Linked DNA regions of Cricetulus griseus. The protein of the gene in region 1 binds, or shares a complex with, the protein of each later gene. Links are inferred from orthologs where the notes say so. Each region holds a gene or a part of one and is shown in the gene's direction. Other genes may lie near its edges. The genes, in order: Med13, Med8, Med25, Med1, Med31, Med18 and Med21.

What was found.
Region 2: Med13 (region 1) and Med8 share a complex: the UniProt entries of both Homo sapiens proteins name them as parts of the mediator complex. The link is inferred for Cricetulus griseus from reciprocal best matches to the Homo sapiens genes MED13 and MED8.
Region 3: Med13 (region 1) and Med25 share a complex: the UniProt entries of both Homo sapiens proteins name them as parts of the mediator complex. The link is inferred for Cricetulus griseus from reciprocal best matches to the Homo sapiens genes MED13 and MED25.
Region 4: Med13 (region 1) and Med1 share a complex: the UniProt entries of both Homo sapiens proteins name them as parts of the mediator complex. The link is inferred for Cricetulus griseus from reciprocal best matches to the Homo sapiens genes MED13 and MED1.
Region 5: Med13 (region 1) and Med31 share a complex: the UniProt entries of both Homo sapiens proteins name them as parts of the mediator complex. The link is inferred for Cricetulus griseus from reciprocal best matches to the Homo sapiens genes MED13 and MED31.
Region 6: Med13 (region 1) and Med18 share a complex: the UniProt entries of both Homo sapiens proteins name them as parts of the mediator complex. The link is inferred for Cricetulus griseus from reciprocal best matches to the Homo sapiens genes MED13 and MED18.
Region 7: Med13 (region 1) and Med21 share a complex: the UniProt entries of both Homo sapiens proteins name them as parts of the mediator complex. The link is inferred for Cricetulus griseus from reciprocal best matches to the Homo sapiens genes MED13 and MED21.

Annotation. Positions count from the first base shown.
Region 1 is NC_048600.1:99,532,909-99,536,408, reverse strand, and holds part of Med13 (mediator of RNA polymerase II transcription subunit 13), read left to right. Parts: intron 1-426; coding exon 427-650; intron 651-1,331; coding exon 1,332-1,521; intron 1,522-2,613; coding exon 2,614-3,070; intron 3,071-3,500. UniProt on the Homo sapiens protein: Component of the Mediator complex, a coactivator involved in the regulated transcription of nearly all RNA polymerase II-dependent genes.
Region 2 is NC_048595.1:33,902,819-33,906,994, reverse strand, and holds the start of Med8 (mediator of RNA polymerase II transcription subunit 8), read left to right. Parts: upstream 1-1,376; 5' UTR 1,377-1,391; coding exon 1,392-1,424; intron 1,425-2,055; coding exon 2,056-2,174; intron 2,175-3,026; coding exon 3,027-3,171; intron 3,172-3,744; coding exon 3,745-3,885; intron 3,886-4,065; coding exon 4,066-4,147; intron 4,148-4,176. Other genes in the region: KICSTOR complex protein SZT2, read right to left, coding at 325-351. UniProt on the Homo sapiens protein: Component of the Mediator complex, a coactivator involved in the regulated transcription of nearly all RNA polymerase II-dependent genes.
Region 3 is NC_048599.1:153,725,702-153,729,902, reverse strand, and holds the start of Med25 (mediator of RNA polymerase II transcription subunit 25), read left to right. Parts: upstream 1-1,401; 5' UTR 1,402-1,470; coding exon 1,471-1,604; intron 1,605-1,683; coding exon 1,684-1,729; intron 1,730-1,841; coding exon 1,842-1,966; intron 1,967-4,201. UniProt on the Homo sapiens protein: Component of the Mediator complex, a coactivator involved in the regulated transcription of nearly all RNA polymerase II-dependent genes.
Region 4 is NC_048600.1:111,310,312-111,314,273, reverse strand, and holds the start of Med1 (mediator of RNA polymerase II transcription subunit 1), read left to right. Parts: upstream 1-1,162; 5' UTR 1,163-1,375; coding exon 1,376-1,400; intron 1,401-1,521; exon of another isoform or gene 1,522-1,792; intron 1,793-3,962. UniProt on the Homo sapiens protein: Component of the Mediator complex, a coactivator involved in the regulated transcription of nearly all RNA polymerase II-dependent genes.
Region 5 is NC_048600.1:86,054,533-86,058,494, reverse strand, and holds the start of Med31 (mediator of RNA polymerase II transcription subunit 31), read left to right. Parts: upstream 1-1,162; 5' UTR 1,163-1,304; coding exon 1,305-1,332; intron 1,333-2,328; coding exon 2,329-2,406; intron 2,407-2,677; coding exon 2,678-2,774; intron 2,775-3,962. Other genes in the region: uncharacterized protein C17orf100 homolog, read right to left, coding at 543-944. UniProt on the Homo sapiens protein: Component of the Mediator complex, a coactivator involved in the regulated transcription of nearly all RNA polymerase II-dependent genes.
Region 6 is NC_048595.1:20,799,995-20,804,293, forward strand, and holds the start of Med18 (mediator of RNA polymerase II transcription subunit 18), read left to right. Parts: upstream 1-1,499; 5' UTR 1,500-1,653; intron 1,654-2,334; exon of another isoform or gene 2,335-2,389; 5' UTR 2,390-2,418; coding exon 2,419-2,491; intron 2,492-4,299. UniProt on the Homo sapiens protein: Component of the Mediator complex, a coactivator involved in the regulated transcription of nearly all RNA polymerase II-dependent genes.
Region 7 is NC_048601.1:3,053,536-3,056,921, reverse strand, and holds the end of Med21 (mediator of RNA polymerase II transcription subunit 21), read left to right. Parts: intron 1-104; coding exon 105-219; intron 220-1,554; coding exon 1,555-1,655; intron 1,656-2,425; coding exon 2,426-2,602; 3' UTR 2,603-2,886; downstream 2,887-3,386. UniProt on the Homo sapiens protein: Component of the Mediator complex, a coactivator involved in the regulated transcription of nearly all RNA polymerase II-dependent genes.

The DNA of each region.
Region 1 (3,500 bases):
ACCAAGTTTTAAGAAATAAAATATAGTATAGTTGACATGTATACAATGTTACATAGTATATCTTATGATTTTTCTCGTAAGTCTTTATGGTAAACAAATTATTCATCATATTAATTATAAATAAGTTTACTTTTAAATTAATTAATGACAAGTGTGATGACTTGTGCCTATAATCCCAGCATTTAACAGGCCAAGGGAAGGAGGCTTGCTGCAAGTTCGATCTGACTGTTTATAGAACAAGATTGCCCTAAACAAAATAGCAGGAAATGTTTTAAAATGAGCACCTAAGGATATTTTTAATTCTGAAAATATGTCATTGCTAGCTTTATATGTTTCTGTCTTTAATATTTTCCTAATAATCTATTTATTAGCTTTGGAAATAAAGATGACATGAACTGGCTTTTTCCTAATTTCCTTCTTTATTAGGAACTGACGAATCTCCAGAACCACTGCCAATTCCCACGTTTTTGTTGGGTTATGATTACGATTTTCTGGTGCTTTCTCCATTTGCTCTCCCTTACTGGGAGAAACTTATGCTGGAACCATATGGATCTCAAAGAGATATAGCCTATGTTGTACTCTGTCCAGAGAATGAAGCGTTGTTAAATGGAGCCAAAAGCTTTTTTAGAGATCTTACTGCAATATATGAGGTAGGTATTTTATAATTTATGTTTAAATTATACTGGGGAATTCTACTGGCTGATGAAAAATGCTGATTTTTGTCAGTTGTCTTACTAGGAAACTATACTCTTCCACATTTTTGCTAGTCTCTGTTAGGTATGTGTGCCTTGGGTCACAGTGGAAAACATAGTATAGGAGGGACCCATCGAGGGCATATGTGTTATATTTAAAGTAACCCTTGGTATGTTGGGTGTGGTGGTGCATATCTGTAACTCTTGTACTGAGGTAGTTGAAACCGGAAAGTCTCCAGGCCAGTCTGGCCTTCACAGTGAATACCATATCTTGGAAAAACCGTATTACTAGGGATGGTGGTATATGCTTATAATTCCAGCATTCGGGAGATGAAGGCAGGAAGATCAGAAATTCTTGGTCATCCTTAACTACATAGAAAGTTTGAGACCAGCTTGGGCTACCTGAGCTGTGTGTGTGTGGGTTGGGGGCAGGGGGCAGGGGAGGGGAGTGCAAAGCAGCAGCTTGAAATTCCTAAAGGAAGATGACCAGTGTCTGCATACTTACCCATGGTGTTTTGACTCAGTTGTTAATTATAAGTAATAAAGCTTGTTTTAAATAGATTGAGTTTTTAATTTAATATCTGTACCCTAATAGTATAATAGATTCCCTGAGTCTACCTTTTATATATGTATTTGTAGTCCTGTCGATTGGGCCAACACAGACCTATTTCTCGACTGTTGACGGATGGGATCATGAAAGTGGGAGCTACTGCATCAAAGAAGCTTTCAGAAAAGTTTGTAACAGAATGGTTTTCTCAGGCAGCTGATGGTAACAATGAAGCATTTTCTAAGCTCAAGCTTTATGCACAAGTCTGCAGATATGATTTAGGTAATAAATTTGTATTCATTCTACAAGAGTAGTGTGAGCATTGTGGCTTGGTTCATCATCTATTTTTGTAAATAATATCCTAGTGTCATGTAGCCATCTCCATTTTTCAAACACGCTGTCTCTGCCTGCTTTTGTCCTGTAAAGTCAGAACTGAGTAGATGTGGCAAAGGCTGTGGTTTCAAAGTTAAATATGTACTGTCTGACTGTCCACATAGAAATTCCGTTTGCTTCGTATGTGGGCATCCTCTCAAGTAGACATTATGGATTCCAAAATATTTTCTGCTACTTCTGTGGGATCTGATGTTTTACGCACTTCAAGATCTACGATTTGTTAATAATTCAGATGCATGTAATTTCTAAGTCAACTATGCAACTCCAGAAAAAGTCTTATTGTGGCTAAGAGAATGACTGTTATTTAAAACCTTTTTGTACTTTTAAATACCAGTGAACTTTTTTACATTTATCCAAAGAGATGTAATACCAAATTACTGAACTTAGACATTTTTGTAAATTGAGCTTCATGGTACTATTCCTCCATTTTATATTTTAGTTAGCTGTCAGTTTGGACAGTATTTCTTCACTTTGTGAAGAAATAATACTTAATAACACTTGCAGTGATTTGATGAAAAATTGTTACATACTGCTGTCACGCTTGTTGATGTGTTCTGATTTTTTTATTAACATTTACTGGAGTATGTTGGGTATATGCACCTGAATCAGTGGAAGTCAGAAAGCTACTTGCAGCGTTGGTTCTCTTTCTACCATGTGCTTCCTGGGGATTAACTTAATCACTGAGCCATCTTGTCAGCCTTTGTTTACATCTAATTTTGCCCAGGAAATAAAATTTTCTTACATTTTCATATTGATTATCTTAAATTTGAATGAAAATGCAGGTTTACTTTTATAGTTCCATTTTAAACTTGTTTCTTTAGTTTCTGGGAGAAAATAGAAAGCTATTACATGCTACACTGTTAGTAAAACAGTTAAGGGAAGATAATTGCCATGAAAGTATCAACTAAATTGTTATTTCTTTAGTAGAATAAAAATAAGTCAGTGAAACCAAGAATTAAATACCCGTTTTTTGTTCTTTAGGTCCATATCTTGCTTCTCAGCCGTTGGACAGCTCTCTGCTCTCCCAGCCAAATTTAGTTGCCCCTACAAATCAGTCTTTGCTTACTGCACCTCAGATGACAAATACTGGAAACGCTAATACTCCATCTGCCACCTTAGCATCTGCGGCAAGTAGCACTATGACAATGACTTCAGGTGTTGCCATATCTACTTCAGTTGCCACAGCTAATTCAACTTTGACCACAACTTCATCTTCATCATCTTCCAATATGAGTAGTGGAGTGTCATCAAATAAACTGCCTTCATTTCCACCCTTTGGCAGTATGAACACTAGTGGTTCAGGATCCATGTCTGCACAAACAAGTACAGTTCAGAGTGGCCAGCTGGGAGGACAGCAGTCATCATCTCTGCAGGCAGCAGGAATGTCAGGCGAGTCAGCCTCGCTTCCCACTCAGCCACATCCTGATGTGTCAGAAAGGTATTTTTAAGATACTGATGCTTGGGGTTGAGAGATAGTTGAGCAGTAAGTAGCATGGGTTTAGCCTGCTTGAAGCCTGTGGACAGTGTATGAAAAGATAAAAGCAAATTTAAGTTTGTGGAAATTCAGAATCTATGGTGTCTCTTTGTATCTTTTGTTTGTTTGTTTTGGTTTTTCCAGACAGGGTTTCTCTGTGTAGCTTTGGAGCCTATCCTGGCACTTGCTCTGGAGATCAGGTTGGTCTTGAACTCAAAGAGATCCTCCTGCCTCTGCCTCCTGAGTGCTGGTACTAAAGGTGTGTGCCACCAATGCCTGCCCCCCCTTTTTTTTAATCTTAAGACAGTCATAAATGAATATAAAGTGCTTCTTGTTCTTATTGTGGAATTTAGTTCAATCATGTTAAGTATTTTATGTATAAAATTATAATAAA
Region 2 (4,176 bases), on another chromosome or scaffold:
GACTGCTGTGACGGTTGCAGGGCTTTTCCAAAAAGCATGGACGCTAAAGCGAAATCAACTCATGCTATTGATTACATTCCAGTTGATGAGCTACAAAAACCCGCAAAGTCGGTCAGCTTCAGCGTGGCCCAATGAAAATCGCAACTAATACCCCAAACACGAAGTTTTGTCATTACAACCATCTCTAGATCTGTGGGTGGGAGATGAGGATCAGGATGACATCTGAGTAAACAAAACAGCTACGGCCTCCTCGAGGCTCCGGAGGGTGGAGGCTGCTACGCGCCTGCCCTCTGGGCCTCGGTCCCGCGCCCGCCCGCCCCTCACCTCTGGCTCCGGGCGCTCCGAGGCCATCACACAGCCCTCCCGCGCCGGCCCGGGCCAGGGAGGATGCTCCACTCCTGACCTCTGACCCAGCTAGCTCGGTACCGGGCAGGAACCGGAAGTCGTAGGGATGGCCGCGTTCTGAGTTTTTTGATTGGTGGGCACAGACGGCGGCGCGAGAAACCGGAAGAGGAAGTGGTTGCGCCAACCGGGCCGTGGCAATGCAGGTGAGAAGCCGGTTGGGCCTCCCAGCCGCTAGCCACCGGCTGGAGGGTGGGCGGGCCGAGGACTCTGGGAAGTTGGAGCTGTGAGGATAGGGCAGAGGCCTCGGCTGTTTGGGGAAAGGCGGCGAAGCCGGAAGGGACGAGGACAGCTGCGGGGGGCGCGGGGATTTAGCGCGCTAACGCCAGAGGGTCAGAGGCGTGGGTTAGGGGGAAAGGCACGGCCGACTTGCTTGACTGTGTGAAAGGATCGAATTGGCATTTGGGAAGGCTAGAGAAAGAAGTGGGCTGGGACAGCCCTCGACCTCGACTGTTGGGCACAGGCGCAACAAGGCTTCAGAAGGCTGAAGGGATTGTGGGCCGCCAAGGACGAAAACTAAGCAGTTTGTAATCCGAGGCTGTGGGTGGAACCTAGTATCCAACCTCATCCTTCACATTCTCGGGTTTGCAAATCAGCTTTGTGTCATTCTTCCCGCCTTGTACCCCGTTGCTTAGGGCGCAGAAGTGGAGTAAATAGACCACAGATGGTCAAACGGAAACCCTCTGCCAACACAGCATTTAAAATTGTCTAACGTCCAGAAAGAATGTGTTGGTTTCCTCGCCTTTGTCTTCCATTACTCAGTTTGTTGCACCTGGTATTCCTACAGTGACTGTTTATGGGTCACCCGAGTTTACGAAAGAGACACTGGAATACTGGCACAGAGATGCAGGAGTACACATTGACTCAGCAAAGGACCAGTTGGGGAGGGGAGCTGCAGAGCTGGTGTTCAGAGACAGCCTCAGATACGGGCAAAATGTGAGATTCTCCAGATTGTGTTGAGAGTAGCTGCACTCACAGGGCAGAGGATAATGGCTTGCATGTACTATAGAGGCACCCATGAGGTAATGAGATAATGAACCTCAGGTGTGCCTTCTGGCCTTATATGCCGACAGCACCCCTGTTACCTTGGCAAACCTTTCTAACATGTACTGAACTTTCTGAAAGAAATGTGGCAATACCAACTCCACAGAATGACACAATACAAGGATTCTCTATATGCCCAAGGAAAGCAGAGTTAGGACATCAAGCAGCTGCGTGGTAGGCAGACTGTTTTCCAGAAAAGGCTAGACTTAACAAAGAAGATTGTGCTTTGGCTTGAGCATCTGCAGATTAAGAGAATGTTGGCTTTTAAGAGAGGCAGTCTTTTGAGCTGGGAGGAGAAGAGAATCGAAGTGAAAAGATGAAGGGCTAAGTGATAAACAGTTCTAAGCCAGTTTTGTTATGAAGACAAAATGGTGAGGTCATAAGCAGAAGGGAATTAGGTCTGGTGTAATGTTCCTTTTGAAGGGCCATAGTGTAGGAGGTTGATAGAAGGAATCAATTGGTAAGAGGACTTCAGGCCAGGTGAACAGGTTGAAAGGTCTAAGGGTTGATGCTGTCTGTAACCCAAATACCAAGATAGAAACCAATTTAGCTTTTCTGTATGTGCCACGATCGCTCGTATCTGAGTAACCAAGCATACTGTTGATGCAGAGGGAGGAGAAGCAGCTTGAGGCATCCTTAGATGCACTGCTGAATCAAGTGGCCGATCTGAAGAATTCACTGGGGAGTTTCATTTACAAGTTGGAAAACGAGTATGACCGGCTGACTTGGTAAGGATTGCCAGGGCAAGCCGGGGAGGGAATCCATGGGTGGTGGGGCCAAGCCCCCGGGCTGACAGGACATCTCCAATGATGTAACTATTTATCAGTTTGCAAATATCCTTTTTGATTTGGCAAGAACTAGGTTGCCCAACATTGACAAGTATAGTTTGGCTTAAAGCCTCCATGGCAAGGAAGTAGAGAAATGCCCAGTTTCCCAACGTAGGCTGTTTCGAGGTTTTAATTCTTACGCTTTGACTTCTTTGGTGAGGAGGTGTTCCCCCAGTGGGGAACCATTAAAGCTATATTCATGCTGGATCTCCTTCCACAGATGTGGCTGAATCTGAGATCCACCCTACTCTGGAATGATGGATTCTGTTAACTAGGCTAGAAAGGAGGCTTTTATCCACTTAAAGAATTTTTAGTTACCACAGTGTAACCACAGTTTCTGTTTTCCACTACCTCCAATCCCATTCAAACAATGAGTTACGACTGGCAGTGGTGGCACACACCTTTAATTCCAGCACTCAGGAGGCAAAGGCAGGTGGATTTCTGTGATTTTGAGGCCATTCTGGTCTACAGAGTGAGTTCCAGGACATCCAGGGCTACACAGAGAAACCCTGCCCCCTCACCCCCCCAAAAGGAAAAGAGTTGCTTTTTTTCTACGTCTGTGTGTCCGTGTTGGAAATTGACAGTGTGCTCCTCTTTCCCAACTCCATCATCTCTGCTAGAAAATCTGGTTCTTGCCTAGGCTAGTCATAGGGCTGTGAGTCTTCTGGGGGTGAGTCTGGGTGTTCCAGCATTAGAACTTTAGAGATTACTTTATAGGGAAAAGTAGTTCTGATGACTTCCTACCACCCGCAGGCCCTCTGTCCTGGATAGCTTTGCATTGCTCTCTGGACAGTTGAACACTCTGAACAAGGTCTTAAAGCATGAGAAGACACCACTGTTCCGTAACCAGGTCATCATCCCTTTGGTGCTGTCCCCAGATCGAGATGAAGACCTCATGGTAAGAAGAAAGGATTGAACCAGGGAAATCAGGTCCTTAAATGAAAGTCTGGAGCACAGTTGTTGATTGGACCCTCTGTATAGCAATGAAAAGTAGGGGCTGCTATCTGGAAGACTTGCTTTTTTGTCCTTCTGGAGTCAGGAGTCACTCTTAAATAATGTTGTGAAAGCCAAGGCCATGTCAACTAAGTCCATGACCTTTCTTTTCCAAAAAAAAGTCTGTTCTGCTTGCCTGTAACTTTGTCCAATCAGTCTTTAAAATGTGGGGTTAGGAATTTAGCTCAGTGGTAGAAAAAAGTCCTGGTTTGGTCCCCAGAATGGGGGTGGGGAATCACGAAAGACCAAAACAAAATAGAAACAACAACAAAAAGAAAATTACAGTGCGGTTGTGGAGGGTGGAATTTATTTTGTCCTAGTTCTGATAGAGTGTATGTGAAAAGACAAAGCCACAGAAAGCTACATTTGTGTCTCAGGTTGTGTTGTCTCTAAAAATGCAGTTTCCCACGGAAGAGAAACTGGGTTAGAATCGGCTTACTTGGATAGCACAATAGGATCAATACAATCTGTGTTACAGCGTCAGACTGAAGGACGAGTGCCTGTTTTCAGCCATGAGGTCGTCCCTGACCATTTGAGAACCAAGCCTGACCCTGAAGTTGAAGAGCAGGAGAAGCAGCTGACAACAGATGCTGCCAGAATTGGTGCTGATGCAGCTCAGGTTGGACTGAGTCACTGCCCTGCTGCCCCATCCCCATCCCTTCATAAGAAGCAAGACTTTACCAAGCCTGGGTAGTAGGAGTCTGTGGTTGGTTACAGCTAGGCTGCCTTTGGAAGAGCACAAGGAAGATGCTTTCCCAGAGTCATTTCTAATCACTACATCAATTCCTGTGTGTTGCAGAAGCAGATCCAGAGCTTGAATAAAATGTGCTCAAACCTTTTGGAGAAAATTAGCAAAGAGGAACGAGAATCAGAGAGTGGAGGTAAGGAGGCTGGTTGGCAGAACAGAGTG
Region 3 (4,201 bases), on another chromosome or scaffold:
TTGCGCTTTTAAAGGAACTAAGTTCAGTATTCAGCACCCACATGACAGCTCACAGTCTCCTTTAACTCTTAATTCTATCTTCTGATCTCCATGAGTACTACAAGCATGTGGCATTTAAGTACATGCAGAGAGATATTCATGTACATAAAGCAAAAATAAACCTTAAAAAACAAAAAGCTGATTGTGACAACATCCACAGAGAAACTCTGTTTCGGGGGTGGAGTGGGGTGAAGAAAACAAAACAAAAAAATAAAAATAAAAAACAAACAAAACTCCATCAAAAACCAGGAGCTGGGAAAATGATACAACGCAAGCATGAGAACCGAAGTTCAGATTTCCCAACACTCACATTTTAAAATGTGTTTGTATCTTTCTCTTTTTTTGTTGTTGTTTGCTTGTTTTGTTTTTTCAAAACGGAGGAGTTTCTCTGCGGAGCCTTGACTATTCTGCTATTCTGGAGCTCACTCTGTAGATCAGGCTGGCCTGGAACTCAGAGATCCGCCTCTCTCTGCCTCCTGAGCGCTGGGATTAAAGACGTGTGCCACCGACGCCTGGTTCAGCTCTTTTCCTAATCTTTTCTCTGTTTTCCTTTTTTGAGACAAGTTTTCTCTGTACAGCCATGTCTGTCCTGATACTCGCTGTAGACTTGGCTGGCCTCAAACTCAGAGATCTGCTTGTGTCCACTGTGCTGGGATTCAAGGATTCAAGGCTCCAGCACCCCTCTGTCCACACATGTTACAGTAATTTTCCAGGTCATTTTATATTCATGACGTTGGCTGCAATGCCGAGTGACTCATTTATTTATTTATTTGTTTATCTGTTTATTAGGAATGTATTTGCTTTGAACCAGTTACTGGCTTCTTTCTCAGAAAACAGGGATCAGGTGTTGCTTAGCAACCTCCACTTAAGTTGGAATTCGCTTCTTTCTGAGCGAAAACAACTGCCCTGGTTTCCAAGTCGTCTGCAACGTTACAGTGTTGCCTGGCAACGCCGTTTCCGAAGATGTGATTGGACCGCTCTCTCCCATCTGTTCCCTGTGAGAAAGACTAGAATTTATTAACTTAATCTCCGTGTGAGAACACAACGGCTGGGTACGCGTTGCCTAGCAACCTGGCTCCACAAACTTCCCCCTTCAGCTCCGAGTCGGAAACTGGAGGCCGACTCCAAGATGGTGACCGGATATGCCGTTTTCCGATTTATTTCGTGCTTGATGTTGTGGACAAAAGTTTGTTAGTTCTCAAGAGTCCCCCAGAGGGGTTTGTGGTGCCCGTTCTGATAATTTCCTGGTGTGGGAATCGCCAGGGTAGAGATAAAACCACCACTCCCCGGATGCCCCGCACAAACATGGCCGCGTTAGCTTCAGCGGAGGTTGCCAGACGTCCGGCGCGGGTGAGCGCATCACGCAGGCGCACTTCTGTTCGTCCCGGGACCGCAACGGCAGCTGCGGCGCTGGCGGCGGCGGCGCGGGGCATGGTCCCCGGATCCGAGGGCCCGGCTCGGGCCGGGGGCCTGGTGGCCGACGTGGTGTTTGTGATCGAGGGAACAGCAAACCTGGGGCCGTACTTCGATGAGCTCCGCGACCACTACCTTCTGCCCGCCATAGAGTGAGTGAGGGCCCTCGTCGTCTCCCTCCGCCCTGACCTGCGGCTCGCACGGACGCTGCATTTCCTCCTGTCTTCGCAGGTACTTCAACGGGGGACCACCCGCAGAGACGGACTTCGGTGGAGACGTGAGTCTGTGGCCGCGGCACGGGGAGGAGGCTGGGTGTGGACCTGGTCTGAGGTTGGGAGGCCCTGTTCCAAAGACCTCCGTTTTAAAGTTCTTTTGTCCTGTCCTCTCAGTATGGTGGAACCCAGTACAGCCTTGTGGTGTTCAACACAGTGGACTGCGCCCCAGAGTCCTACGTACAATGTCATGCTCCTACCAGCAGCGCCTATGAGTTTGTCACTTGGCTCAATGGCATCAAGTGAGCTTTTCCTTCATTTTGGGCAGATTGGGGACCCCAGCAGAACTCAGCGTGGGTCTGTGCGAGTCTGTCTTGTTCCAAGCAAGAATGGGCTACCCAGGCAGTGGGATCCCTGGGTACAGACCACCACAGCCTGCTAGGGTGTGAGTGTCTGCAATTACTGCTTGCCCTGTTCTTGTGCTTGGTTTGCAAATGAGTAGCAGTGTAGACTGCTGGGTGCAGGAAGGGTCTCTGAAGCTAATCTTTTCATGTGGAATCCACAATCTAGTTGTGGTCAAGGGTCATTTGACAGTGCTGATCTAGTCCCAACCGGTTCTTAACCGTCCTGACTTGGTGAAGCAGGTGTGCTTTGAATGCCTGCTGTGTTCCGGTTTTTTTTTTTTTTTTTTTTTTTTTTTTGTGTGTGTTGTGTGTGTGTGTGTGTGTGTGTGTGTGTGTGCATGCACTCCACTTGGAGATTGTCTGGACTGGGAATTTATGTAAAGCATGGCTTCCCATGCTAGCCATTGTTGACACTTAGCACTCAAGTTTTGTTAAGAAGACTGGTTTATTTTTGTTTAACTTGTGCAAGTGTTTTGCATCCATGCATGCCTGTTTACCTCTTGTGTGTCTGGTGCCCTTGGAGGCCAAAAGAGGGTATCAGATCCTTTGGAACTGGAGTTAAACAGTGTGAGCTGCCATTTTGGTGCTGGGAATACAACCTGGGCCCTCTGGAGGAGCAGCCAGTGTGGTTTCTTTCTTTTTTTTTTTTTTTGGTTTTTCGAGACTGGGTTTCTCTGTGTGGCTTTGGAGCCTATCCTGGCACTCGCTCTGGAGACCAGGCTGGCCTTGAATTCACAGAGAGCCACCTGCCTCTGCATCCTGAGTGCTGGGGTTAAAGGCGTGTGCCACCAACGCCTGGCTGCAGCCAGTGTTCTTTAAGATTTTTATTTATATTGCCAGGCTGCAGTAGTGCACGCCTTTCTTCCCAGCACTCAGAAGTCAGAGGCTGGTGGATCTCAGTGAGTTTGAGGCCAGCTAGAGGGCAGATGGCACCTTAGTTAAGAACTGCTGGGCTAGATTGAAGTGAGACTTGAGTAACAACCATCTGGAGTTCTGTGAAGCCCCAAGGTCCACACTGCTGCATGTCAGGGTTGGTGTATGTGAGGCCTCTCTCACATTTGGTTAGGCGTGAGTCTGAGGGCCAGTGCCAGCCAACTCAGTTCTATTGAACTCCTGATTGGCTGTTAAGTCTCCTGTGTCCATTTCTGTGCAGGGAACTTGTGTGACTTTTCTTATGAGCCAATTGTCCTCTGCTACCTGTCACTGCCTCTGCTTCTGGACCTCAGTGGAAGTCCAGTACCTGCTGTTCCTCCTCTAGACTGCTTCCAAGTAGGGTTTTGCTCCTACAAGGCTTAAGGAGAAATCTGTGTAAACAATGAGTGATGGCTGCTTGAAAGCTCCTCAAAGACACCGGACCTTCCTGGTGCAGACTGCAGGAAGAGTGGCCCTCCCTTAGGAAAAAGGCTGACTATGGGTACTTGAAGATAAAAGGGAGATACTGTCTGGACTGCACTGTGTTCCCCACTTGTACACTTAAAATCCTGTAGCTACAAGTGTCCCCAGTTTGGAGGCCTCTGCTACTGTTAGGTAGTTCAGCATTGTTTTACTCTCCCAGGGTCACTGTTCTGACCAAGGGCCGTGACCCATGTCCAGGATGCTCTGGGCAGGACTGGAATGGAAATGAGAGTCAGCAGGACTTGTCCCTGCTTGAGAACACTCTCCTTCTGCTGTTGATGATGGTGCTTGGAGACAAGGTGCACAGTACAATTAGGACACAGCCTTGCTCTGGGCTTGTTTGTTTATTTTGTTTTGATTTTTGATTTTTTTTAAGACAGGGTTTCCCTGTGTAGTTTTGGAGCCTCTGAGTGCTGAGATTAAAGGTGTGTGCCACTGCCACCTGGCTGAGTTCTTTTTCTTTTCTTCCTTTTTTTTTAAATTATAAGTCCCATTTTATTTTTCCAAGGTGTTTTTCCTTCTGTCTTCATGAAGCCACCTCTTTACATGGGCTTTGGTGGCGGTCGTGGTGCAGCACCAGCAGGTGTGGTGGGGGTGTTTGGTCCTTCCGGGCTTCACGAGATGGATTCCTGACTACCTTACTATGACTAGCACAGCTCACACAGGAATGTAGCCTGACATTTGGGAAGCACATAAGCATTGAAGACACTTACTTCGGATATGTCCCTGACAGCAACG
Region 4 (3,962 bases), about 12 Mb from region 1:
TCCAGATTTTGAGATAGGAAGTCATACCTTTAATCTGGGCCATACCTTCTGCTGGAAGTCTGTAAAGGACATGGAAGAAGGGAGGGATTGTTCATTCTCCACCTGCTTACCCTTGCCTTGTGAGCACATCCATTCCTTCTCTGGCACTGGAGTCTAATTCTTAGGATTCCAGCAGATTCAGAAATTGTTGAATTAGCTCGACAGTAGCCTATAAGTCATTCCAATAAATTTATAAGTTCTGGGACTCTGAGAGCTCTCTAGGGGGAGAAGGGCAAGGCCTGCCAGAGCCATGTTCGCCATGCTTGAGTTGGATAGAGTCCTATCAACAAGACGTTGACTGAAGACATTTTTTTTTTAAGTTACTCTCAGAATAGTGGTCACTAAGCATTTTTTAAAAAAGATTTTATTTATTATGTATACAACATTCTGCTTCCATGTATATCTGCACACCAGAAGAGGGCACCAGATCTTATAGCGGATGGTTGTGAGCCACCATGTGGTTGCTGGGAATTGAACTCAGGACCCCTGGAAGAGCAGTCGGTGCTCTTAACCTCTGGGCCATCCCTCCAGCCCCGACTGAAGACATTTTTGTCATTCATATTGTAGAGAAGTAGTTAAGCTGTATATTTTCACTGGTGTAATAAAATGTGACACAATGATAATTGTGGTGGAGTCAGACACGTGGTAACTGGAACAAATAAAACTGCTTTAATCTAAATTCCCATTAATAATTATGAAATTGTTAAAAATTCGCTGGGCGTTGGTGATGCACGCCTTTAATCCCAGCACTCGGGAGGCGGAGGCAGGAGGATCTCTGTGAGTTCGAGGCCAGCCTGGTCTCCAAAGCGGGTGCCAGGATAGGCTCCAAACCTACACAGAGAAACCCTGTCTCAAGAAAACAAACAAAAAAACCGGAGAGAAAGAAGAAAGAGAGAGAAAGAAGGAAGGGGAAAGGAAGGCAGAAGGGAAGCAAGCATTAGGTTGAGAGGAGACGCCGACTCTCCGGGATCACACTTAAAACGCGAAGCCGTGAGCACGAGCCAATCGGTGACGGCCGGCTAGAAATCCCGCGGCAAAGACGAGCCAGCCAATTTTCGCGAGATTTTAGTACTTTTTTTTTTTTTTTTCTTCTTCCTCTGTCGCGCAGGAACACGATTAATCTCGCGATCTTTGGGAAGTTCCGTTGGGGAAGATGGCGGCGGCCGCGAGCTCCCTTCTCTTCTTGCCGCCGGGGACTTCAGACTGAGCCCTCCCCGGAAGCGCGGGGGCCGCTGCGGCGCCGCTCCCCCGGAGCTCAGGACAGCCTGGTTCCGCTCCCGGCCGTGGGGAAAGGCTCACGCTCCCCTGGCCGGCCCGAGGCCTCGCGGCTGTCAGGATGAAGGCTCAGGGGGAAACCGAGGGTGAGTGGCTGAGGGGGGGTCGGAGGGGCGGGACTCAGCGGCGGGGAGCCAATCGGCGAGAGAAGTGGGACCCACGCCCCCCGGGCCGCGGCGCCCGGAAAGGGTCCCCGCGGAGCGTGTGTCAGGTTCCGACTGCGCCCGAGGAGGCTGCGGGGCGCCGACTCTGAGGTGGCCTCCCCTCGCCTCGCCTCCCCTCCCGCTTTGTGGACGGCTTTCTGCCTGACTAGGGACGGAGCAGTCGAGCCTCGGGGTAGCTCAACCTGGTGGGACATGAGGAGAGTGACGTGGACACTTGTTTACTCTTTGTTCCAGCAGCGGTATCTGAGGGTGACAGTAGAGACAGAAGAGCAAGGTGTCAGGGTGATCCAGGGTGTCCTAGTGTGAGTGACACGGTGAGGCCTTCGGTTTCTTCCCCGAAATGTCACTGCTCAAGCCCCGCGTTGCGAATTTAAAAGCTGCTCCTCTAATTGTGCTTGGATAGCGTGGCTTTAAAGAGAAATTGGGAGAATGTGTTAGGCACAATCCCCAAACCACTTCCCCAGAAGAGGGCAGAAAAAGGAAGAGATTGAATCTTTTTTTGTTTTGTTTTGAGACAAGGATTTCCCACGAAGCCCAGGTTAGCCTTCAACTCAGGATAATCTTCCTGCCTCAACCTCCCTAGTCCTGGCTTACAAACCTGTACCCTCTGGATCAGCTAAGTTTTTTGTTTGTTTGTTTGTTTGGTTGATTTTTTTGTTTACTTTTTGTTGTTTTTGTAGTTTTCGCTTTTTTTTTTTTTTTCTCCAGACAGGGTTTCTCTGTAGCATTGGAGGCTGTCCTGGAACTCACTCTGTAGACCAGGCTGGTCTCTTAACTCAAGAGATCCTGTTCCTCTGCTTCCCGAGTGCTGGGATCAAAGGTGGGCGCCACCACCACCCAGCTAGGTTCTCGAAAGAGTTTGAATCTTGGTTTAGATCCTTTCCCCACTACGTTAACTCATATCAACTGGCTCAGCCAAGTGAAGTCATGACAGTTGTAGGGAACTGGATTGCAAAATAAGCATACTTAAACCAATAGCACTTTTTTCCCCTCTCTTATGAGGAGTCTAGTCTTAGTATTTGTGTGCATGCTGGTTGTGAAAATATGGAACTATGTAAGGAGATTATTTATTTATTTTTCAAGGCAGGGTTCCTGTCTGTTCTAGAACTGCTCTGTAGACCAGGCTGGTTTCAGCCTCACAGAGGGGGTAGAGGTAGGAGCATCAGGAGGCCAAGGGCATTCCTCACATTCATTTATTTGTTTGTGCGTGAAGCCATCTGCCTGCCACAGGGTAAATGTGGCCATCAAAGGACAACTGGCAGGAGTCAGTTATCTCTCCATGTGTGGACTCTGAGGATAGAACTCAGTTTACATGTTTTGGCAGCAGGTGCCTTAATTCACACTGAGCCATCTTGTGAGCCCTCAAGATCATCCTCTGCCAGATAGACCGGGAAGTCAGCATGGGCTATGAGACACAATCTCAAAAAGGGAAGAGGGAGCTCTGTGTGTGTGTGTGTGTGTGTGTGTGTGTGTGTGTGTGTGTGTGTGTGTGTGTGTGTGTCTGTCTGTCTGTCTGTCTGTCAGTCTGTCAGTCTGTCTGAGTGAGATTAAGAGCCCTCACTTCCCAGTGTGTCTGAGTGATGAGGAGCCCTTGCTTCCCAGAACGCACACTCCCACATGCAGCTCACAACCATCTGTAACTCTAGTCCTAGGGGTCCTGGTTGCCACCTTCTGGCCTCTTGAGTATTGCACAGACATGATGAACATACATGCAGGCAATAAAAAGTCACATATAAGTAATTTTTAAAGAAGTATGTATTTTATGTGTGTAGTTGTTTTGTCTTTATGTATTTCTGGGTACCATGTGCATAGCTGGTGCCTTGTGCCACCACCATCCGGCTTTCAGCTGGTGTTCTTAAAAGCATAGGTTGGGAATTGTGGAACACTGCTTTGATCCCAGTGCTGAAGAAGCAGAGGCAAATGGATCTTTATGTGTTCAACTGTGACCACAAACAAACCACTTTTGGGCTGGGGAGATCCAAGGCAAGGACAGCAAGTTTTCCTCTGACCCTCACAGGCACTGTACTCAGCACTTATACAACATACATAGACATAAAGACATTAATAATAAAAAGGTTCGTTTTGCTTTTGTTACTAGTAGTATTTTATTTATTTGTTTTTAAATTTTAGAAGCACTCTTATTTACATATCAATCCCCCATTCCCCACCTTTCCATCCTACCCCGCCCCCCAGGGGTGTCAGATCCCCTGGAACTAGAGTTGGATATGTTTGTGAGTTTCTGTATGGATGCTAGGAATCTAACCACATCCTCTTGAAGAGCAGCTAGAGCTCTTAACTACTGAGCCATTTTTCTAGCCCCTTGGTTTTTAGTATCCTTTTTGAGACAAGGTTTCCTTATGTAGATTAGTCTGTAGTTATTTTGTTGTTGTTGTTTTCAAGACAGTGTTTCTCTGTGTAGCCCTGGCTGTCCTATAATTCACTCTGTAGACCAGGCTGGGCTTGAACTCAGAGATCCGCCTGTCT
Region 5 (3,962 bases), about 13 Mb from region 1:
CCCTGACCTATTTAAAAAATAATAAAAGCCTGTATGTGGAGTACTGTGTATAAAAACTTAACATAGGAAAGCTTATTATGAAATACAAATAAAGGTCAATTAATAATCCATGAAAGATGATTCTTTGTTCTATTGGTTTCAAGCACTATATAATCAAGCCAGTGGTCATGAATTCATGACAAGTTTGGTCCTTCTTCGCAAATTTCAAGTGGTCAAACCATTCTAGAGGGACCTCAGGCTACGAAACTTACCTGGTGCAGAGACTCAAAGAGCCTCTTTGTCCATCATCAGCCGAGTATATACGCACCGCAAGTCTGAAGCCCTTCTGTGCTGGCTTCGAGTTAAATAGTACACTGGGTCAACAGCAGGGTGGTCTAAGGTGATGCAATCTCAATACATGTTGGCAGCACCCAGAAACCACAGCCTGTTTCTTACATTGATTTACAGGCTGTTTCCATGAAACCAAAGATGCTTGGCTCTCCTGGAAGCTGGCTGGCTGGCAAATGGAAACACTTCAGTGCTGGCTAAGGGCCATGGCCACTTCATCGGGTCATTTTGGCACTCTGGCGAGCTGTTTGCTTGTCCCTCCTGGCTGGGCTCTCTACACGGTGCACAGTCGTCTCCACCCGCAGGGATGACGACGCCCTGACGTGGCTGGAGGACGTCTCCGTGCACTGCGAGGAGGTTTCCACGTGCTGGGAGGATACCTCGAGGAATCTAGGGAGTCGCTTCGCGGAGGAGGTCAGGGAGGGTCCCTCTCGGTGGCGCTGAGAGGTCTCCACCTGACGAGAAGACGTTCGAACCTGCCGGGAGGACGTCTCCACGCGGTGGGATGACGTTTCCTCGCGGTGGGACGACGTCTCCACGCGGATAGTCGACGTTTCCTTTTGGCGGGTGCTTTCCACTCGCGGGGCGAAGGATTTACTCCTAAGGGGCGAGGCCATCCTGCTGGCACACCCAGGTCAGAAGGGACACAGAGGCCCAAGACTCATGCTCTGTGTCACGTCACACAAGGGACGGTGACGTCAGGGTGATGAGCTACGTCAGTGTAGGCTGCTGCGGGCCACATAGGATCTGCGAGCAACGAGCTCTTCCAGCACGCGCCGCTAGATAATTGCTCAGGCTGCCGGCCCAGACCACACAGATAGGCGGGGCCTCTCTCCTCAGAAGGAGGCTGTCTCCGCCCTCGCGTCCCACATGCCCCGCGACCGGAAATAAGAGCCGTGGCTTCCGGATCCTCCCTCACCATTTGAAGCCGCGGTTGGGTCGGGCTGGTTGTGTTCGCGTCTCTCTCCTCTCTGGTTATGGCCGCGGCCGTCGCTATGGAGACAGGTTCGTGGTGTCGTGCTCCTGGAGTCTTCACCGAGGGAACGGGTCCTCCCCCCTTCTCTCCGGTTTCCCCGCGCCGTCTTTCGGGCTTAACCCGGCATCCTTAAGGAGTTGGGATCGGTGGGGGAGAAGGCGGTGTTGTCTCTGATTGTGGCCTGTGTGAACGACATCTTTGCTCCTGGGCTGCTCACACCTCCACTCCCTGGCTCGCGGGCCGGGGTGGGACTGAGGGAGAGGACCGAGCCCTTCAATTGTCTGCTCTATGGAGCTTTTCCCGTGAACTTGCTTGAAATGTTTGTAACGTGTATGGTTCTGATACGGATTACCGTCTCCTCCCCGCTGTTTAATCATTTTGCATCTTGCTTCCTGCTTTTATTTAGCACTTTGTTTTTGTTTAACTTAATCACTGTTAGTAGTTGTGGTTGTAACGCTAACATTGGGGGTGGCACAGCTATTACAGACCAACCAGTGATCTCTGTTACCATCCTCCCATAGTGGCCTTAAATAGCCGTTTCGTTTATTTTTCTCAACTAACTTTAGGTAATTTATTATCTTTGTTTTGTTTTGAAGACAGGGTCTCACTATGTACTACTGCCTAGCCTGGAACTGGCTATGTATACCAGGCTGGCCTGGAATTCACAGAGATCCTCCTGCCTCCCCCTTACAAGAACTGGGATTAAAGGCATGCACCACTCGGCTTGTTTTGTTTTAAACCAGGCTCCACTCTGAGATTTCTAAGGAAATCTCTCCTGCAGTTTGGTATTTGTTTCATAAATTCATTCCTATGGGGGTGGGCGGTGCATGCCGAGGTCAGAGGACAACTTGCAGGAGTCTACTGTTCCTGCAACCCTGCGGGTTCCAGGGATGGAGCTCAGGTCATCAGACTTTTCTGTGAGCACCTTTACATGCTGAGCAGTCTCACTGGCAGTTTGTTTTTGTTTCTACAAATCATTGGTATCGTGACTTTTATTTTGGGTGTCTTTTACTTTTTTCTCCTAGATGATGCTGGAAATCGACTTCGGTTTCAGTTGGAGTTGGAATTTGTGCAATGTTTAGCCAACCCAAATTACCTTAATTGTAAGTCGAGTACATCATTAAGTTGAGTAGCTAGCTGTTAATGATTTCTGACAGAAGAGATGGAATTCATAATAGTATTTACTTCGGTATGTTTGAATGGGATTTTACTTTCGATGGTCTGTAGTTATTAACTGAGCAAACAAGGACTTGTGTTTTTTAATTCCTTGTGTTTTGATGGTAGGAATGTTAAAAGAGCTACTTTATTGTAGCGATTACAAGTCAGTAGTCCAGCAGTTGGTTGACATACAGATTGTTTCTTTATGCCTTTCAGTTCTTGCCCAAAGAGGTTACTTCAAAGACAAAGCTTTTGTAAATTATCTTAAGTACTTGCTTTACTGGAAAGAACCAGAATATGCCAAGTATCTAAAGTAAGTTTAATTTTTATAATCTTAAATCTGTGTATACTTTATTATAAATACGAAGTGCTTATATTTAGCAGTTTTCTCGGTGTCAGAATGGCAAACTATGTTTTGAATTTTTCTGCTTTTAGTTCATGTCATGTCATTGTCATTTCTAATTTGAATTGTTACAGTAATCTCACTTATTTCTGCTGTCATTCTTACCTCACTCCCTTCAAACCAAACAAAGCCAAACAGTTGTCTGTCAAAACCAATTTACTGTCTTAGTAGTATAAATCAGAACATGCCACTTCTATTCATGTAGGATAAAATCCAGTAACTAGTTTTAGAGTAAGACTCTGATTTGATTTGGTCTGTCTGAACTTGTCATTTAGCATTCCCCTTGTCTCTCTGGGTTTCTAATGCCTTCCAACCTATAAACTACTAAAATGTAGTGGTATAGCCATAAGCTGAAAATGAACATATAAGAAGTGGTGTTTTCTGGGAGTCTTAGACTTACTGTCTTCTTTATAGTTTCCTATGTGTCAAGTACTGTGCTAAATGTATCGTGCACATTAACTCACTGTAAACAAAAGAAAGACAAACATGAACACTGTCAAGTTGTTTGATAGACAATTGTGAGAAACATCACAACTACACAGCTATCCCTTTGAATGGTAAAACAAAACCTTGAACTCACCCCTCTGCTTTGTCTTAATTAAAAAAGAAAAACAAGCTGGTACACACCTTTAATCCCAGCATTTGAGAGGTAGAGGTGGAGGTGGATAGATCTCTGAGTTCAAGGCCAGCCTGGTGTACAAAGCTACTTCCAGGACAGCTAGGGCTACACAGGTAAACCCTGTCTTGAACTCCCCCTCCCCTAAAAGGGTGGACAACAACAACAACAACAAACCCAGAAATTTTAGCCTGATGCCCCTTTAATCCCTGCTCTCAGGAAGATCCGGCAGATCCCGGTGAGTTTTAGGCCAGCTTAGTTATGTAGCAAGTTTCAGGCCAGTCAAGGCTACATAGACCCTATCTTAAAAATTAGAGGGAAACATTTCAAGCCTTTTCTTTATATCCTAGTCACTTTTCTGAATTGATCCTGGACTGCCTGTAGAACAGATTGCACCGGATTTGCTCTTTATGATGCAATTATTGATTCCTTTAGGAATCTGAAGGAGAGACTTTTAAGTTATTAGGCTGTTATAACAGTGC
Region 6 (4,299 bases), on another chromosome or scaffold:
AATCTTTTTTTTTTTTTTTTTCATTAATCTTTAAAAATGTTGCATTACGCTGGGCGTTGGTGGCACACGCCTTTAGTCCCAGCACTCGAGAGGCAGAGGCAGGTGGATCTCTGTGAGTTCGAGGCCAGCCTGGTCTCCAGAGCGAGTGCCAGGATAGGCTCCAAAGCTACACAGAGAAACCCTGTCTTGAAAAACCAAAAAAATAAAAAAATAAATAAAAATGTTGCATTACAAGTGTTATTAGAGGGCTGGAGAGATGGCTCAGAGGTTAAGAGCACTGCCTGCTCTTCCAGAGGTCCTGAGTTCAATTCCCAGCAACTACATGGTGGCTCACAACCATCTGTAATGAGATCTGGTGCCCTCTTCTGGTGTGCAGATATACATGGAAGCAGAATATTCTATACATAATTAATAAATAAAATCTTTAAAAATGATTAAAAAAAAAAAAGCCGGGCAGTGGTGGCACACGCCTTTAATCCCAGCACTCGGGAGGCAGAGGCAGAGGCAGGTGGATCTCTGTGAGTTCGAGACCAGCCTGGTCTACAAGAGCTAGTTCCAGGACAGCCTCCAAAGCCACAGAGAAACCCTGTCTCGAAACCTTTCCCCCCAAAAAAAAAAAAAAAAAAAAAAAAAAAAAAAAGCAGCAAGTGCTCTTAACTGCTGAGCCTCTCCCCTATTTATTTATTTTTGAAAAGTCTCACAATGTTGTTTAAGTCTTGAACAGTTCTGCTGGAGAGATTCTTACCACAGCCTTCCGAGTTCTGATTCAGACTGTGCCTGGTCCCCTGCATTCATTCATTCATTCATTCATTCATTCATTCCTTTATTTGGTTTTTCAAGACAGGTTTTTTCTGTGTAGCTTTGGAGGCTGTCCCGGAACTCACTCTGTAGACAAGGCTGGCCTCGAACTCACAGAGATCCGCCTGCTTCTGCCTCGGGAGCGCTGGGATTAAAGGCGTGCGTCACCAACGCCCCGCATGGTTCCCTGTACGTAAAGTTGAGGTTTGTACAGGAAATTATACAAGTTTGCTGTTGTATTAAGTTTGCACAGGCCAGGGAAAGGGTCTAGCACTGAGCTATTTCTCCAGACCTTTGAAAACACACAAAACATTCAGTGTTAGCACTGAGGCCCATACAGGCACAACGCTGTGCTTAGCTGGGGAGCGCATCAGACCTCTGTCACCTTGAGCTATCTGATGCTATCAATGCGGCTCTTTCCCCAGTGGCTCAGTTCACAATTTAAACATAGTATCCAATCAGTTTGGAGAGATCTGATCAAGACACCCAGGTCGTCGGAGCTGTGGGGGAGAGCGCCACTTATCCTAGAGCTGCCCTATGACGTAAGGCCCTGCAGTTATCCCCAGCGCACCGCTCCAGACCAGGACCCCCTCGCAAGGCAGCGCCGCACTTCGCACATGCGCTCTTGCCCCCGGTGCCAGGAGGCAGGCTCATTCCTGGCCCTCTCGGCACCCTTACTTCTCGGCGCTTCAGGGCCTAGGTTTCCTGTCCGTCAGCTTCCTGCCGGAAGTGCGGAAGGCGGATGCCTGCATCTTCTCTGGCGGGATTTTGGTATCTGTGGGTGCGAGTGTGCAAGCGTGGACTTAATTCCAGCTTCGCGGGGAGCTGCGGCGTGCACGGAGGCGTGTTGCTAGTGTAAGTGCACACGTGCCCGGGATCCCGGCGTGGGAGGACCGGTGCCGTCACTTTAGTCACGCTTCCCGCCTGGCTCGTTTGAAAAGGGGAAAAAGGCCGAGCCCTGTTCCAGGCGGACCCCCGTGTACCCTGGCGCCTCTCCCTGAGTCTCCTTGGCGTCCGCCTAGGGTGAAGGTCCTTAGGTCGCCTTCGGATCTTCTGTTTTGGGTTTTTAGAGGTCTCACTGCGATTCCCCGGTTGGCCGGAACTTGCTAGGTAGACCAGTCTGGCCTCGAACCTGCAGCCGTCTTCCTAACTCTGTTGTCGAGCGTTAGGATTACAGATGTGCCCCAGCACGGCCAGCTTTTATTTATGTTTGCAAACGGGGCCTCTGTGTAGCCTAAAGGTGACTCTACTTTTTCTGAATTTAGTTGTATGTCGGTTGTTTCGTTTGAGCCACGTAGCTGGGGGAGGGAGGCTGGGCGGTTAAATGCCCCTAGTCTTATTTAAAAGAGTAAGTTCCAGAAAAAGAGGTTGCACAGCTGCCTCAAGATTACCTAGGAAACTTAGAGGGTTCAGAATTTGAGATTAGAAGGTTACGCCGTATCTCCGTGGCCAGAACCCTTGTTTCTGTGTCGCCTGTTCATGGAGCGGGCTGTATAAATAAATGCGAAGTTCTGAATGCCTGAGTCTTGATTTCAGTGCCGGAGCCACGCTACTAACCGCTCCAGTGTACAAACAAGTGTGACTCTTCCAGGTGTATCCCGTGTTTACCTGACCGTCACCATGGAGGCCCCTCCAGTCACCATGATGCCAGTCACTGGGGGCACCATTAACATGATGGAGTACCTCCTGCAGGGTAAGTGAGCCAGGGAGCTTGCATTAATTGCCAAGTTTTTCCTTCCTTCCTTCCTTCCTTCCTTCCTTCCTTCCTTCCTTCCTTCCTTCCTTCCTTTTCTTTTTTGGTCAGAGTAAGTAGAGATAAAGCTAACAAAGTCAACCACACAGTTTCTGTCTCCCTGTAAGTATGTTTAAAGGAGGTAGGGTGGGAAGGTTGACTCAGTGGCCAGAAATTCACCACACAGACCAGTCTGGCCTCAGGTACCTGGGTTTAACGAGATGCACCATAAACAATTGCCTTTTCTTTTTTCTTTTTCTTTTTGGCTTTTCAAGACAGGGTTTCTCTGTAGCCCTGGCTGTCTTGGAACTCACTCTGTAGACCACGATGGCCTCAAACTCCCAAGTGCTGGGATTAAAGGTGTGCACCATCACCCCCCTGCTTCATTTTCTTTCATCTTTACTTTTTCTGCCTCTCGACTGACACTGATCACCTCCACACCTTGTTTTCTTCATCCACTGCTTAGATGCCCCAAAGAAGTGAAATGACTGGTTTGTGACAGGTTTCTTTTACTTGGCATTATATCCTTGACAGAATTATGTCTTATATTTACATGGTTTTTGTATTTTTGGAAACAGGGTCTTAGATAGCCCTGGACTCCTTATTAGCTAGAATTGCAGACCTAGGCTACCAGGCCGTGCTAAGTTCCTGTTTCCGAATCTCTATTCTGCACTGAGTATCTCAAGCATTGTATCTACTTACTTGACTCTTAGGGGGTAGTTTGTTTGCTTGTTCGTTTGGTTTTGGTTTTGAAGACAGGGTCTCACTTTATATATATCCCTGGTTGGCCTGCAATGTAAACCAGGCTGGCCTTGAACTCATAGACATCTACCTGCCTCTGCCTCCCAAGTGCTGGGATTAAAGGCGTGTGCCACCACCACCCGGCTTTTGCTTGAGTCTTGTAATGACCCCTAAATTTTATTTTATTTTTTTTAGCTCTGTCCTAAAGCCCAGAAGACAGAGATAAAGGCTCAATGATAAAACAAGACCCAAAGAGAATGCTGACTTTTTTAGGAGATCATACAATATATTTAGTAGGCAGAGTTAAGCTTTATTTATTTTTGAAATGTGTGTGTATGTGTATATACGCACGTGTATACAGGCGCTCTTGCATATTTTGTGGGAGTCATTTCTCTGCCACTGTGTGGGTGGGGGATTGAACTCAAGTCCTCAGGCTTGATATTTGTACTGGATTTAATTAGATTTTTCTATTACATTTTATTTGTTTGGGAGCGGCCTTGTGCTTGCCACAACACACCTGTAGAGGTCAGGGGACATGTGGGAGTTAGTTCTTTCCCTTCATTAGGTGGGTATCAAGGATTGAACTCAGGTCATCAGGCTTGGCAGCAAGCACCTCTACCCACTGAGCCGTCACATTGGTCCCTCTAAAATGTTACCGAGTAAACATTTAATTTTTGTCCTTGGGCAGTTGTCCTTTATCTTTGTATTTATTTGTTTGTTTGTTTTTATTTGTTTACTTATTTTTGGTTTTTCAAGACAGAGTTTCTTTGGGTAGTCCTGGCTGTCCTAGAACTCACTATGTAGACCAGGCTGGCCTCCAACTCGCAGAGCTCCATTTGCCTCTGCCTCCGAAGTGGCAAATATCTTTCATTTATTTGTGTGATTGCCTGTTTGGGTTTATGTGTATCATGTCCATGCCGAGTCCAGAAGAGGGCGTTGGATCCCCTGGACCTGGAGTTACAGACAGTTGTGAGCTGCCTGATGTGGGTGCTGGGAACTGAACTCTGGTCCTCTGCAGGAGCAGTAGA
Region 7 (3,386 bases), on another chromosome or scaffold:
GCTTAGAGATCATTATTATGAAGAAATTGTTGCCATATCTCATAAAATCCATAAAATTGACAACTCTTTTTGTAACCTTGATTTTTTTTCTTTTTTTTTTCAAGCTTGCAGATCAGTTTTGTAACGCCATTGGAGTATTACAGCAATGTGGTCCTCCTGCCTCTTTTAGTAACATTCAAACAGCAATTAATAAAGACCAACCCGCCAATCCCACAGAAGGTGAGGTCTCCTTAGTTTGACTAACATTCCTTCTACAATTTATAGCTCCTTTGTAAAACTGTGACTGTGGTTGAAGTGCATTGCTCTATGTTTTTCCATAAATGATTTTTTAGCATTTATTTACTTGGTGTGTATGTGGGCAGGCCTGCTATAGTATGCTTATAAGAGGTCATAGGTTCCAGACCTGTTCTCTCCTTTCACCATGTGGATTCTGGGGATCACACTGTGGTCCTTAGACTTGGTAGCAATGTGGGAGGTCCTTCTGTATGCTATGAATAAGTGTTGCTTTTTTTGGTTGATGAATAAAGCTGTTTTGGCCAGTGACCAGGCAGAATATAACTAGGTGGGAAATCCAAACAAAGATGCAGAGAGAGGGGGCCGGAGAGATGGCTCAGAGGTTAGGAGTACTGGCTGCTCTTCCAGTGGTCCTGAGTTCAATTCCCAGCAATCACATGATGGCTCATAACCATTTGTAATGAGGCATGCCAGAACACTGTATACATAATAAGTAAATAAATCTTAAATGATACATAGATTAGTAAAAATGGGTTAATTTATATGTAAAAAGCCTGGCATTGGTAGCACACGCCTTTAATCCTAGCACTGGGGAGGCAGAGGCAGGTACATCTCTATGAGTTCAAAGCCAACCTGGTCTACAGAGCCAGTTCCAGGATAGCCTTCAAAGCAATACAGAGAAACCCAGTCTCAAGAAAGAAAGAAAGAAAAGGAAGGAAGGAAGGAAGGAAAAGAAAGGAAAGAAAGGCCAGTAAGAAGTCTGAGTTATCAGCCAAACAATTATAAACTGGCGGGTGAGACAGAAAACATGCAACTACATGCCCTTATCTGCAAAGCTATCTCATTGGTCAAGGAATGAGTTTATCAGCTCAATTCATGTGCCTCATGATTCTATTCACTTCAATAAAAGATTGTTACTCCCTTAGAGGAGAGCTTATGAAGACTGAATTTCTGTTTCACCTGGTCCCCCAGCCCTTTAGTCCCAAATAAACACATTGAGGCTTATATTAATTATAAACTGTATAGATTGAACTGAGTTTTGCTTGTATGACCTTAGTAAAAAAAAGGATCTCATTTATGGGTTCATTTGCTCAAGGTACCAAAATGTTGTCCTAGTATATAAAATGACATTCTATGCTAATTCCCAGTTTGAATTAATGTTAAGGGTATAAATAGTACTGATATACTAAAATTATACTTTCACCATTAGGATTATATTAGAAAGCTGAACTTTTCTAGTTTTATTAATTTATAATTTGTGCTTGTGAAAATGTAAGGTTTTGCTAATTTAACTTAATGTTGTTTTTTTTTTTTTTTCAGAGTATGCCCAGCTTTTTGCAGCACTGATTGCACGAACAGCGAAAGATATTGATGTTTTGATAGATTCCTTACCCAGCGAAGAGTCGACAGCTGCTTTACAGGTGAAAACTCCTTTCTTTTCATAAAAGTAGTAGTGATAGAGAACTTTGAATTAAAGGAGGTATGGCATTCAAATTAGGACTAAAGTTTAATTGGAAGGTATTTTGGGTTTTGTTTGATTGTGGTTGGTTTTTTGCTTGTTTTGTGGTCAAATCTAGGGTCTCACATAGCAGGCAAACACTCTATAATTGTGAACTAAAACAGCCTCTGAAGATTGTGCTGAATAGTTGTCCAGTTTTGACCTAAAAGATCAGATCATGTGTATTCGAGGCAGTATTGACACTGAGCAATTTAATCTTAGGCAGAAGTCTCCTAATGCCCTTACTGAAAGTGGAGCAAAGTAACGTCTACAAGCAATGTACAAGCAAACACCTATATATTCTGATTGAAAATTAGTCTTCAGGGCTGGAGAGATGGCTCAGAGGTTAAGAGCACTGACTGTTCTTCCAGAGGTCCTGAGTTCAATTCCTAGCAACCACATGGTGGCTCACACAATCTGTAATGAGATCTGGTGCCCTCTTCTGACCTGCAGGGATACATGCAGGCAGAACACTGTATACATAATGAATACATGCATCTTTTTAAAAAAAAAGAAAGAAAGAAAATTAGTCTTCTAATAAGTCATAGAGAAAAATTAAATAGGTATTTAGAATTATCTGTTACTAAAGATAAAAAAATGATTGGAAAACCATTCTGATTTTAAAATAAATACTTGTACTTTAGTTTCTCTGCATTTCATCTCTGAGCATATTAAAATTCATGTCTTATGAAGGCTGCTAGCTTATATAAGCTAGAAGAAGAAAATCATGAAGCTGCTACATGTCTGGAGGATGTTGTTTATCGGGGAGACATGCTTCTGGAAAAGATCCAAAGTGCGCTTGCCGACATTGCACAGTCACAACTGAAGACCAGAAGTGTCACCCGTAGCCAGTCGCTTCCAGATTCCTAGCAACAACAGAAACAGGTGACTGAGAAAATAACTGTTTGAAGGGCACTAAGAATACCGCCTCAGATATGGGCTTAAGTCCCTCCAACAGCTGGGGGGCATCATACGCTGTGACTGTTTCCTTTTTTACTAGTTTTCACTCTCGATATTAAAAAGCTTTAAGATTGCGATTGCAATTGAGTCATCCTCAAACATCATGTCATTTTTTTATCTATCTGACTAGAATTTTCAAGGTAGATACTGTACTAATGTTCATGCTATAATTAAAAAGCTATACAATACAGCTCTCTGATGTTTTGCATGTGTTGTTTTTCTTGTTTTGTGCAGTACAGAATGGAATCCAGGCCTTGTGTATGCTAGGTAAGCACTTTGTCACTAGGCCATATTCCCCGGTTCTGACAGACATTGTATGATTGCAGCCCATCCACAGGTCAGCATAGCCTTAAAGGCCATGATATGGGACATTTCAATTTAGATAGTGTCCCCCTCCTTAAAGATGGCACCATGTAAGTTTATATCTTTGAGCAAAAGTTTCTGAAAGTCTTTTTAAGAAACTATTAGAGCAGATAGGAAATAGACAGTCACCTGAAAGCTTTCTTCTTCAGAGTGTCACACATTCTAGTGTAACACAATTAATAAAAACCCAGAGACTGATATTGGGGTTCAAGCTGAAGATCAGAGAAAGTAGCCGGCCACTAGCTCTCACCTCTACCTCAGGTGAAAGGGCTGATCCTCGAGCTCCCCACCAAGCCTCAGACTGCCGCCTCTCCTCACTGAGGATAGAGAA